Linked DNA regions of Rhinolophus ferrumequinum. The protein of the gene in region 1 interacts with the protein of each later gene in a pairwise test. Links are inferred from orthologs where the notes say so. Each region holds a gene or a part of one and is shown on either strand. Other genes may lie near its edges. The genes, in order: NMI, BRMS1 and TXLNB.

Region 1 (3,750 bases):
CCTGCTGCTTATATCCTTCTTATAAAAAACAAAAATAAGACAAAAGAAGAAACGAGGTTGAACTAGGTAACTTCTAGAGTTCATGCTCTTTGAAATTCTAAGGTAGAAGAGAAGTAATTCTCAAGTTGCAACAGATGGAGTTTTTGTACTTAACTGGACTAATGAGCACAACAGTCATCATACACCACTTGATTTTTTTGTTAGAAGAGCCACTTTAGATTCCCATCAATATTACTGATATGAAGGAATTTGACTTTTATCAGTTATTTTAGACCACTGTATCGGTTACTATATATGACTATATATCGGTTACTACATAGCTCTACAAATTAGAATTTATGCCTGGAAATTAATTTGGTACATTTACTTCCTGTCCTGTATAAGCAAGTGCAGCTGTGGGGTGGTTCTTTGTGTAGGATTAAGAAACACTGCAGTTCTTGAAATAAGCCAGATGGTTTTATTTTCAAAGGAAAGGATCACACCTAGTGAAGAATTTATTTACAAGCTTCACAACAAAATAAAAGATTAAAAGAAACTTTCAAGGGACATGGGTCATAGAAACCCACTGAACACCACAGCTTCCCAACTCCTGGGCCCAGAGGACATTGCAAAAGACACAGAAAAGTTGACCTTGTGCTGGCTGTAAACATTTGTAGATTAAGGTTATAATGACCAAGACATTACAATGAGAGTTATACAATCTGAATAGACTCCCGTTTTGACTTGGTTTCAATCCACTTTTCCAACAGTAGGTCCAGTAACATACACACACACAAGACTGGTTTTGAATGCATGTCCTAAAATTAGAGTTAATGGAAACTTCAGGAATACTTTTGGGATAGATACCCTCAAAACAAAAACGAAACAACGACGTTTTAAAAATCGAAAGTGAAAACTGTAACTTGTTAGCGATTAATCATTGGAGACACCAGGTCTGGTATTCCGAGCAATGGTTGGTTTTAAAGAGAATCACCATTTGAGCTGAGTTTTCTCTTTCTTTTTTAAGGACCCAACTGTTCATCTGAGCGACACCCACTCCGGATAAGGCAGCGCCAGCCTCGGGGACCCGCACGTTCCCGCCCCGCTCCCGGGCTCCGGGCGACTCGGCGGCGCTCCTCCCGCGCGCGGCCGCACCAAGTTTCCGGGAAGATCGGGCACTTTGGGCCCCGGGGCGCGGCGCTCGGCGGGCCGAGGCGGGTGAGTGGGGCCCCGTTTCCCGGTCGCCATCCCTGCCCCTAGTTGTCGGGGCTAGAGGCCGGGGGTTCGCAGGGAGCTGGGTTCCACGGGGGCGGAAATGGCGCGCGGAAGGACGGGCTCTGCGCCCCCCGCGCCCCTGCACTGCCCGCTGCCCGGGTCGCTGCGGCGACACTGCCGGCGCGGGGGCGCGCCTGCCCCCCGGCCACTGTGCCTTCTCGAGGCCGGGCCGGCCTCTGCCCCAGTCTTCTTAGTTTGCTTTGCTTCTTTGCGGAAACGGAAACTTAAAATGGTTTGCGTTTCCCCTCTGCTCATGCAGCGTCTCTAGAGATAGTTCTTAGAAAAACCGATTCCTTAAGGGATTTTTACTCTCCTTGGCAGGTGCAGTGTTTGGCAGTCGTGCCTTACTTTGAAGAATATGCAGGGAAAGTCTTGAAAGAGATATCCAAAGGAGAAGACGGTGTTTCCCTGTCTGTACGACGCACAGAAGGTTTTAAAAAACTATAAATGTGTATCACCATTTTACTAATCACCACCTTCTTCCTTTCCCTCGTTTCCTTCTTTTTGCTGCCAGGCATGCATATGGGAAAATTCGTTTCTATCATGCTGACACCACAATAATATGAGTATATCAGAAAAATAGGTAGTAGATGGGTGGAGGTGATTTGTATTGTTTTTTGTTTTGTTTGTTTCATTCGCTGGCATAACAAATTGCCAAGGATTTAGTGGCTTAAAAACCACATTTATTATCTTAAAATTCTGTAGGTTGGAAGACCTACCTGAGTCTCGGCTAAAATCAACTTGTCTACAGGGCTGCTTTCCCTCTGGGAGGCGACTGGGGTGAAATCTGTTTTCTTGCCTCCCGGTCCTCTCCCCTCCCCGCTTCTTTAGGCTGTCCACCTTCCTTGGCTCAGTGGTGTGCTTTCTCCATCTTCAAAGCCATTAAAGATTACATCTCCCTGACCATTCTTTTGTTAGCACATCTCACTCTGACTGGGGTCTCTTGCCTTCCTCTTTCACTTTAAAGGACCTTAGTGATTCCTTGGGCCACACTGATAATCCAAGATGATCTCGGTATTTTAAAGTCAGGTGATTGGCAACCTCAATTCAATCTACAACCTTAATTCTCCTTTATAGTGTAACCTAACATATTCACAGATTCTGGGGATTAGGATGTGGACATCTTTAAAGGGGCCACCCATCTGACAGCATCAAAGGAAGGCTATTACTGTACATCCCACTCATGCAAATAGGGAAAGTATCCAGATACTAAACATGCCATAAGAAGTTTGGGGGATATTTATAGAGTTAAATATATTGAGAGTCTTTATTATAAGCTTTTACGAATATTGACTTATAAAACAAATAATGTTGCAGTTTCTGCTTTCTGGAAATGTAATAAGAGAACTTCATGTGCCTGGGATGTCCTGAGCAGAATACCTGAGTCAAGATACTGCACAATTTTATAAATTTTGGGTGTTTTCAGTGTGTAAACTTGTATTGTGCTCTGAGTGGGTATAAGGAGGAGTGGACTTGGTCTCTGGCCTCAAGGTTGTGACCTTGGAAAATAACACAGGTACATAAATAACTAAAGCTCCTTTTGGGGAGATAAAAGAAGGAGAAGTAACGTCCTTTGGGGGAATCAGAAAAGGCTTCAAGAACTTGGGGGGGAAGTTTGGGATGGATCTTGAAGAACTCTAGGATTTCATTCGATGGAAATTAAGGAAAGAGGAGAAGAAGGATGTGACATTTTGAGAGGCAGAGGGAAAAGAGCCACCCTTTGAGGGCTCGGTGTGATTAAGGGACTTAATCCAGGAATCGTCTAAATAAGACTGGAAACTAAATTGGGTTAGACCGGGTAAAACCTTGGATGAATGCTGAATGGCATCATAAGGATTCTGCAGTTGTTGGTAGAATAGAGAGCTATGTGTAAGGCATATATCTTTTTATTTTGAAACCATCTAAAACTTACAGAAAAGTTGCAAGTACAATACAAGCAACTTTTTTTCCCAGTGAATTATTTGAAAATACATTTCCAACTTCATGACCCATTGCCCTAGAATTCTTGAGCATATATTTCCTACAAGAAAGGTGTTCAAAATCAGGGATTTAATATTGGTACATTACTGCCATCTAATTCTTGGATTCAATTCAAATTTTGCCAGTTGTCCCAATCATATCCTGTATAACAAAGGACCCAGTTCAGAATCATGCCTTGCATTTAGTTGTGATCTCTTTAGTCTCCTTCTGTGTAGAACAGTTTCTCAGTCTTTTCTTGGCTTTTATGAAGTTGACACTTTTGAAGAGAATAGGCCAGTCTGTGTAATGTTTCTTCATGTTTAGATTCAGATTATGCATCTTTGGCAGGAATATCATAGAAGTCATGCTGTGTTCTTAGTGCAGCCTATCAGATGGCACATGATTTATCTCCTTATTTACTTTGATTATTTCATGATAGTGGCGTCTGCTTGGCTTCTCCACTTTAAAGTTACTTTTTTCCCCTTTGAAATTAATCAGTTTTTTTGTATTTTGAAACTAAATGGTCCTTTCCTCACC
Region 2 (3,750 bases), on another chromosome or scaffold:
AGAACTGCTTCTCTAGGTCCAGCATCTCGTTGAGGCACTCGCTGCGGCGCCGCTCGTAGTCCTCCTCGTCCATCTCTGGGATAAGAGGCCAGTCAGGGCCAGCGGGGGAGTGGGAGGGCACCGGTGTGTGCGCGCGTATGCGTGCGCATTGCGGGTGGGGGGGGCTCACCTGAGCTCTCCTCCTCGGACTCCGTCTGGCTGCCGCTCCGCTCCTCCTCACTCTCTTCTTCCTCCCCATTCATCTCGGCAGCTGAATCACCCTCTGCTTCCATCTCTTCTGTGTCTTTGCTGGGAGGCTGGATCGGCATCTGGACCCTGGAAGGAGTGGAGCCATCACTCACCTCTGCCCACAGCTCCAAGCAGGAAAGTGGTCACTAGGAGTCACACCAAGCCTTGGACAGCGGGGGAAGGAACTGGATTTGCCACACCCCGAGCACACAGTGGGTGCGGAGGGTGCACGTGGCCGTCTGCACAGCTCCCAGAAGCCACGGAAATGCTCGTGCCCTGGGACCCTGGGGATGATCCCAATCCTGGGAATATTGGCCAAGGTGATGATCCATAAGGTGGGAAAGGCCAAGGGTGGGCTCCCCCTGCCTATGCGCCTGGGCCCAGACTTCTGACTGGGCCAGCTCCTTCACCTTGCCGTCTACTGGCCAATTCTCGAATACACCAGGCACTTGCCCCCAGGCCCCTCATGCTATTCCCTCTGCCTATAATGCCCTCCACTTCTCATCCTGAGAACACTCTACAACCTCTTGTCTTCTCTGAGTCCAGTCCCATCTCCTTCTGCTTCCTCTGCGATCTCCTATCAGCGGTGCTCCCCTCTTAGACATGCTCAGGTATGTTCCACCATTCAGGAACAACAGAAACACAAAACCTCACCCGATTCCATTGAACTGCTCCCCGTTTCCACCTCACAGCTACACTTTTCCAGGCCTGTGTACACTTGTTCTTCCTACTGTCACCTCCCGCTTGTTCCCATTTGTTTCTGTATCATCACTCTCAGCCAAAACTAATCCTATAGAATAAACCGACGACCTCCCTGTGCCTGAAGCCAGTATTTTTCAGTGCTTATCACAGCTGACATCTCAGCAACCCTGAACACTGTTAAATATTGCTTCCTTTCTTCACTCATCTCACGTCATTGGAATTCTAATTATGCTAGGTACCATCAGACACAATGGTAGGTGCTGGTCACAGTGGCGAGACAGACATACACGGTCTCTGACCTCAAGTGGTTTACAAGTTCCTGGGAGAAAAAGGCAAAGAAGCAGACCATTAGTGTGGTGTGAGAAGAGTTGAGAGCGGGCTTATGGGAGAGGAATCTAACTGGGGCCTGGAGTTGCTGCAGCTGACTTGCAGAGGAAGATGGGCACACGGATGGGCTGAGCTGGTCAAGGGAGGGAACATTCCAAATAGAGGGAGCAGCATGTGCAAAAACCCCCAAATGAAAGAAGGGGCAAGGTTGGGGGCACATGGGTCTAAGCTTGAGAGACAAGTCTGGGCTGCAGAGATCTGGTCAAGGGCATGTAGCAAGTTCTTCAGGCCCTGAGAGAAGGAGCAACCAGCAAGGCAGAAAGTGTGGAATGAGAAGACATCCATGATGGAACTCCCCGGGTCACCAAAGGGGCAGATGAGACCCCTGCAAAGGAGAAGGAAATTAGCAAGAGGTAGAGGAGGAACAACTCGATTCATGGGGAGAGAGACTTTCATAAGGAAAGAGAGGTGACAGTGCCAAATGCTGCCAAGAGATCTCCTGAGAAGACTCAATAGTCCTCTCAACAGATAACCTGTCTACTGGGGATTCTATTTCATTGTGATGTTTTTGCAACCTCTCTGGGTACTTCTATGTAGTCCTTTACATTGGAATAGAACCCCTCCCTCCAGGAAGCCTTATTTGTTTACATCTCCTCTCTATTTGCCCGTTCTCATGTCTGTGTCCTCAGCTAGTCCCTAAGCCTCACGGGGCAGGGCTGCACATGCGCCTTATTCACCTAGCGCAGTACCGACGCAAGCGATGGCGATGGGGGATTCGCAAATACAAATTAAACAAAACAAACTTTTGTGAGGCAGGCATTGGCTTTTACTTCTTGGTAGCCCCAGGCCCCTTCGGTGGTAGCAAACCCAAAGTGTTCTGTTCACCTTCCTTGACACCAGTTCGAGTTGTGCAAAATAACTGGACTAGAGCATAGTTTAGTCACATTCCTCAATGACTTCACAAATAATATGAACCTAACCTGAAACCTTCGGTTCTCCAAACCAGCCGCATCTTTCCCACTCACAAGCCTCAGTTCCCACAGTTTCCAAATTTTGCAATTCCTCTTCACTGTTAAAGATATTTACTTTCTAAGATGCAACGTAATCGGGACCAGAAAGGGCGGGGGAGAGGGGACGGGAGTCACTCCAGCTGCCTGATTCTACTGAATGAGCTCAATAAAATCACAACCTCCCCTCCTTACCCCAGGCCAAACAGAGAATGGCCATTGCTACTCTGAATGTTATTAAGACTGCAAGGGGTAAGGGATGGAGACGCAAATTTTAAGGCGCTGTACACATGCAGTTTATCTTTTCAGAAAGTGAGCATCTCGAAGGCTGGCCTCCACGGAAGGCAGATTCTTCCCCACCCTCGAAGAGGCCAACCCAGCCCCTCCGCGGCGCGCCCGGAGCCTCCCGCCCGCTCCATCCCCGTATGCGTCCGCGCGGGTAGGAGAATCTCTAGCTCTTCCGCAGGGGGTTTGGGGCCCGCGGCCCTGCACGCTCCCGGCAGGTTAAGTCTCCGCTTCGGCCCTGGAGATGGGGTGGGCTCCGATCCACCCGCCGGAGGCCGAACCAGGCGTCACAGGTGGCGTTACGCACCGCACGGATTGGAGCCTCCGGCCTCACGTCAGAGATTTCCCAACAGGTGTCCGCGGCGACCGGTGCTCACCCCCGCCGTCCGGCTCCCGGAAGCGCGGTGCCGGTCTCTCTTTACTGGGAGGTGGGGCCTATCGGTGCTTCCGTATGCGTCATCAGGGGGCGCCCTTTGGGAAGCTCACACAATTGGACAGCTGGGGACGAGGAATGCTGGGATACCGCGGACCGGTCTCCATAGCAACTAGCCGAAGTTCACACTGGCGCAGTCAGCCCTCCGGAAAAAGACCCTTGTGGTTTTCTTGCTTTGCCGCCGGTGCTCCTCTGTCCGTGGTCACCTCCCCCCACCCTCCCCCGGCGTGAAAGGGTTGAACCCGCGACCCCTCCGCCTGCTCGGTTCAGGAGAGTAACGGAGCCAGCTGTAGGTGTGAACACTCATTTATTTATTTACACATTGTCATTGGTAGGCAAATAACCCAGCCCAGCCTATTGGAGGGTACAGAACCTGCAGACCCTTTCCTTCTCCAGAGGCCCCGAGGGCAGAGGCCTGGGAGAACCAGTAAGTTTAGGCTTCTGTACAAAAGCTAAGAACTAAACTCAACGCCTTTTCTTCTCTGATTTCTTTCCAAAAAGCCCATTTTGTTAAGTACTCAGACTTCTCAGCTCTGTCCCATTCATACTTTTTGCTCTCCTACTGCCTACCCACCCAAGATTGTTAATAATAACAACAATAACAACAATAATACTGTAATAATATTAATACTTCACATTTGTACGAAGCTTACAGAATGTTTTCACATATAGCATCTCATCTGAGCCTCCCAACAGTTCTGAGAGGTAGGTATTCTCACCTCCCTTTTCACAGACGGGGTAATTGAGGCTCAGAGAGGGAACGGGATT
Region 3 (3,750 bases), on another chromosome or scaffold:
AATGAATGTACTTTTACAAACGATTGATCTTGCAATTAGGTAGGTAGGAACAGTGGGACGCCATTTTTCCAAATCAAGTCATACTATTTAGCATAGTTTGTTTTTGGTCTTTAAATTCCAGTAGTATCTCCTATTGTTGACATTAGCAGAGTAATTCAAGATATTGTTTTTTATGGCCCTATCTGTCATTTTGCTTAGAATAGCCAATTTGTGTTACCATTTTCTTCTATAATCCTATGTAGATTTATAATCACTGAAAGTACATGGATGTATACACTTAAAATATTTAAATTTTAAATGGTGTTATTTTTACAAAGTTAAAATATTTAATACAAGAGCTACTAACTTACTAAAATCCTTCATAATAATGTCCCTAAACTCTATTTTAATCTATAAATGAAGATTTGATTAATATGAGTACATTGATATAAATGAATTATTATGCTGGATACAGGAAATGCTTTCTTGCTTTTTCTGGTATTTTCCTTTTCCCAGATGAGCAACATGTAATTATTAATGATGAAAACACTTTTTTTTTTTAGGTACACTAGCATCATTTTTGGAATAAGGCAGAGAATGAGGGAAGTTATAAATTAACAAACAAACTGGCATGGAAACATGGTGATGCTTATAATAATAATTCTTTGAATTTCTGTAATACATTTTCTTTTTTCCAGTATAAAAACTGGCATTCTTTTAGGAAAAAAAAAAACAGATTACAACATTTTCTTCTCAGTCAAGAAGTTCTAGGATAAGTTGATAATTTTAAAGAAATGGCCATGTTTAAGGCAAAGGGAGGAAATGAAGTAAGGAAATTATCCAGGTGTGATATGGGTTCTTTGGAAATATGGAGTGAGCAATGAGCTGAGTCAAGGATTCCAGGATTTCTGGCTATCCTCATTCCTGGGGTTGCAAGAGATTTGGCTTAGGCCTTTACGTTATGGTTCATTTCCTTTGTAAATGATATTTAGTGGTGATGGTGCTGATTAGCAGGACAAAAATATGACAGGATCCTCATAATGCACAGGTTTTGCTGCTGTGGAGGTATGGAAAGCGAAAACACAAACATGCTGCTCTGTGCACTGCACAGCTTCCTCCTTCTGTTCTCAGGGCAGTAGATATCAAATGCTTGGCCGCCAACAAGAATGGAAAATTCAACGTACAAACACTGCCACCCACTTGTGGTCCTCACCAAGTACACATTAATTTAGAAGGGAGTATTTTTTTTTCCCCTCACTCATTGTAATCCACCAACTTTATTATCAAATGATACAGTAAACAGCTTCATGTCTTCATCACTGGAATTTCTTTATCCTGACCCTTACCTACTTCTTGGGCACAGTCATCTATATATATAACTAGTGCCTCCCCTGAACTTGGAGAAAGACACATGGCACCTGCTTCCAGCCAGAAGCTATTTTAAGCTCTTCTAAAAGGAGCCATGGCATTTAGCACTTTATCCTTGAAAATCAAGGGAATGGAGTACTTTTTAATACAAATCGAAAACAGTAAACATTTGCTGGCATAAATTCATATGTGGGTTTTAAAGTGTTAAAAAGTCTTTTTAGGATGAAATAAAATCTAAAGTAAACCAAACTTCAAAGCAATGAATTTAAAAACTGACTGTCCATAGGAGTTTTGGCATGGTTAGTTTAAATGCAAGCATTTTATTTGTAATAGCTTTATTCTTCATTCCTCAGAGGCCATAATCATTGATGTTTTTATATTAATCCCACGGACAGCCTTTAAACTCATATTCCATGTTTACTTTAAAACAGAATAACTGAGTCATTGTGAACCACAGGAAAACTCAATTCCTAAAAGTAGCCTCAAGATAAATCAGCAAGAGGAAAAAAAAACCCAAAGTCAAAGAACTCTGTTACTTTTAAATTATCTCTTTCTAGATTAATTATACAGCAAAAATTATTTCTAAATTTTATCTTCCATAAATTTTATTGCTGCCTTTTCCCTCCTCTGAAAGAAAGTTTATCACTTGTACTGGCAGTCCCAGTAGATTATCACACACACATCCCTTCCTGAGCAACACATTTTAATTATAAATAAAACAATGGAAAGTTCTTCAACAGTTCGCTGGCAATCTTAAAGTTGCAAATTTCGAACACCACAAACCGCACCCCACATCTTCTCACAGGGCTTGGGGGAGTGTTTGTCATACTTACCAGAAGGCAAGGAGCTAAGCAGAAAGAGAAAGGAGAGGCAAGGGGCAGCAAAAAGTTAGTCAGAACAGCAGCAACAGCAGTAGACAGGCAGGCGGCTGTGTTCTTACAAGGGGACAGAGAAACCAAATACACACACACACATACACACACACACACACACACTCACACACGCACACACAGCAAGAGAGCAGGTGGGGGAGGGGAAAGGAACATCATATGACACAGCAGAGAGAAATAACACCCAAGCTTCAGTAGCTGTCTCCTGGGTCAATGTCTTAGAAAAGGGAAGCAGCTGGTAGATCTGATCAGACTCCATCTTGATTCCTTTAAAAAAAAAAAAAATGAAACTCTCAGTATGTAGACCTTTTGCTAGCACAGTTTTTCACCATTGTTGTTCTTTTGGGCAGAGAATTGGTTTTTCTTATTTCTTGGTTAATTTCCAGTGTGGCCTATGATTCATGTCCTTTTTTCCCCTTCTTACGCTAACCTAATTAGTGTCAGGTTTCTTATAGGAATCATGGAAAAAGGAAAACAATGGCCTAACAAAAAGGAGGTGGGAGAACTACTTTAATTCTGATGTCATTGTTTGGTTTATTTATAAATTTTGAATTAGAAATTTAGACGGCTGTCTTGGCAGTGGGCTAGTATCATCTTCAGGCACATGGTAGTTGGCGTGACCTCAGATTCCTGGTCTGACTTGGGTAACCACCTCCGCATTTCAGATAAGCCCCTGGGCACTTCACCTTTTCTTTCTTAGTTGGTGGCTTTCCTACCTTCTGCAGCCGCATTTCGAGGTCTTCACTATCCTTTCCAAACCCTCAACGTGCTCCTTAATCCCTCAGAAAAAGAACCTCCTCCTCATTCACCATAAAATGCTTCTCTTCACCTACATTCGTTCCCCTTTTCTGTCTGTTTCTGGAGAATGTGTTCCCACACTTTTCCAAAGTAGTTTCCTCCATCAGAGTTTCTGCTCTGGAGAATGGCTGGGCATTGTGACACCCCCTGTGATAGGCAGCATAATGCCACCCCAAGAAGTCCAAATCCCAACCCCAGGAACCTGTGCATGTATTACTTACTTTATCCAGTGAATGGGGACTTTGCAGATGTGATTAAGTTAGGGATTTTTGAGATGGGGAGATGATCCAGAATTATCTGGATGGGCCCAATGTAATCTCAAAGGTCCTTATAAATGAAAGAGGGTGGGGGGAGGGGCAGTCAGAGTGATAAAATGAGATTTGATGACTCAGCAGAGGTCAGAGTAATGCGAGGCCACAAACCACGGGGTGAGAGAAGTGTTTAGAAGCTGGGAAAAGCAGGAAACAAATTATTCTCTAGACCCCCCAGAAGCAATATAATTCTGTTGATACCTGGGCTTAGCTCTGAACTCATTTTTGATTTCTGACTTCCAGCACTGTAATAAATTTACATTGTTTTTAAGCCACTAAATTTATGGTAAATTGTTAGCATAGGGAGGGAAAACTAAAATATTCTACCCCCCAACTTTTCCCTACCACTTTCTCTGTGTTCAGGGGAGGCATAAGTTATATATAGATGAGTACACCCAACATGG

Evidence for each region.
Region 2: the proteins of NMI (region 1) and BRMS1 interact in binary tests that used the Homo sapiens proteins (3 or more experiments, as listed by UniProt). The link is inferred for Rhinolophus ferrumequinum from reciprocal best matches to the Homo sapiens genes NMI and BRMS1.
Region 3: the proteins of NMI (region 1) and TXLNB interact in binary tests that used the Homo sapiens proteins (3 or more experiments, as listed by UniProt). The two-hybrid records come from large-scale screens. The link is inferred for Rhinolophus ferrumequinum from reciprocal best matches to the Homo sapiens genes NMI and TXLNB.

What each region holds. Positions count from the first base shown.
Region 1 is NC_046291.1:69,058,806-69,062,555, forward strand, and holds the start of NMI (N-myc-interactor), read left to right. Parts: upstream 1-889; 5' UTR 890-932; intron 933-1,006; 5' UTR 1,007-1,197; intron 1,198-1,575; 5' UTR 1,576-1,668; exon of another isoform or gene 1,669-1,684; intron 1,685-3,750. UniProt on the Homo sapiens protein: Acts as a signaling pathway regulator involved in innate immune system response.
Region 2 is NC_046294.1:5,589,861-5,593,610, reverse strand, and holds the start of BRMS1 (breast cancer metastasis-suppressor 1), read right to left. Parts: upstream 3,007-3,750; 5' UTR 2,857-3,006; intron 332-2,856; exon of another isoform or gene 316-331; 5' UTR 309-315; coding exon 170-308; intron 76-169; coding exon 1-75. UniProt on the Homo sapiens protein: Transcriptional repressor. Down-regulates transcription activation by NF-kappa-B by promoting the deacetylation of RELA at 'Lys-310'. Promotes HDAC1 binding to promoter regions.
Region 3 is NC_046286.1:84,910,468-84,914,217, forward strand, and holds the start of TXLNB (beta-taxilin), read right to left. Parts: upstream 2,311-3,750; 5' UTR 2,181-2,310; intron 1-2,180. UniProt on the Homo sapiens protein: Promotes motor nerve regeneration. May be involved in intracellular vesicle traffic.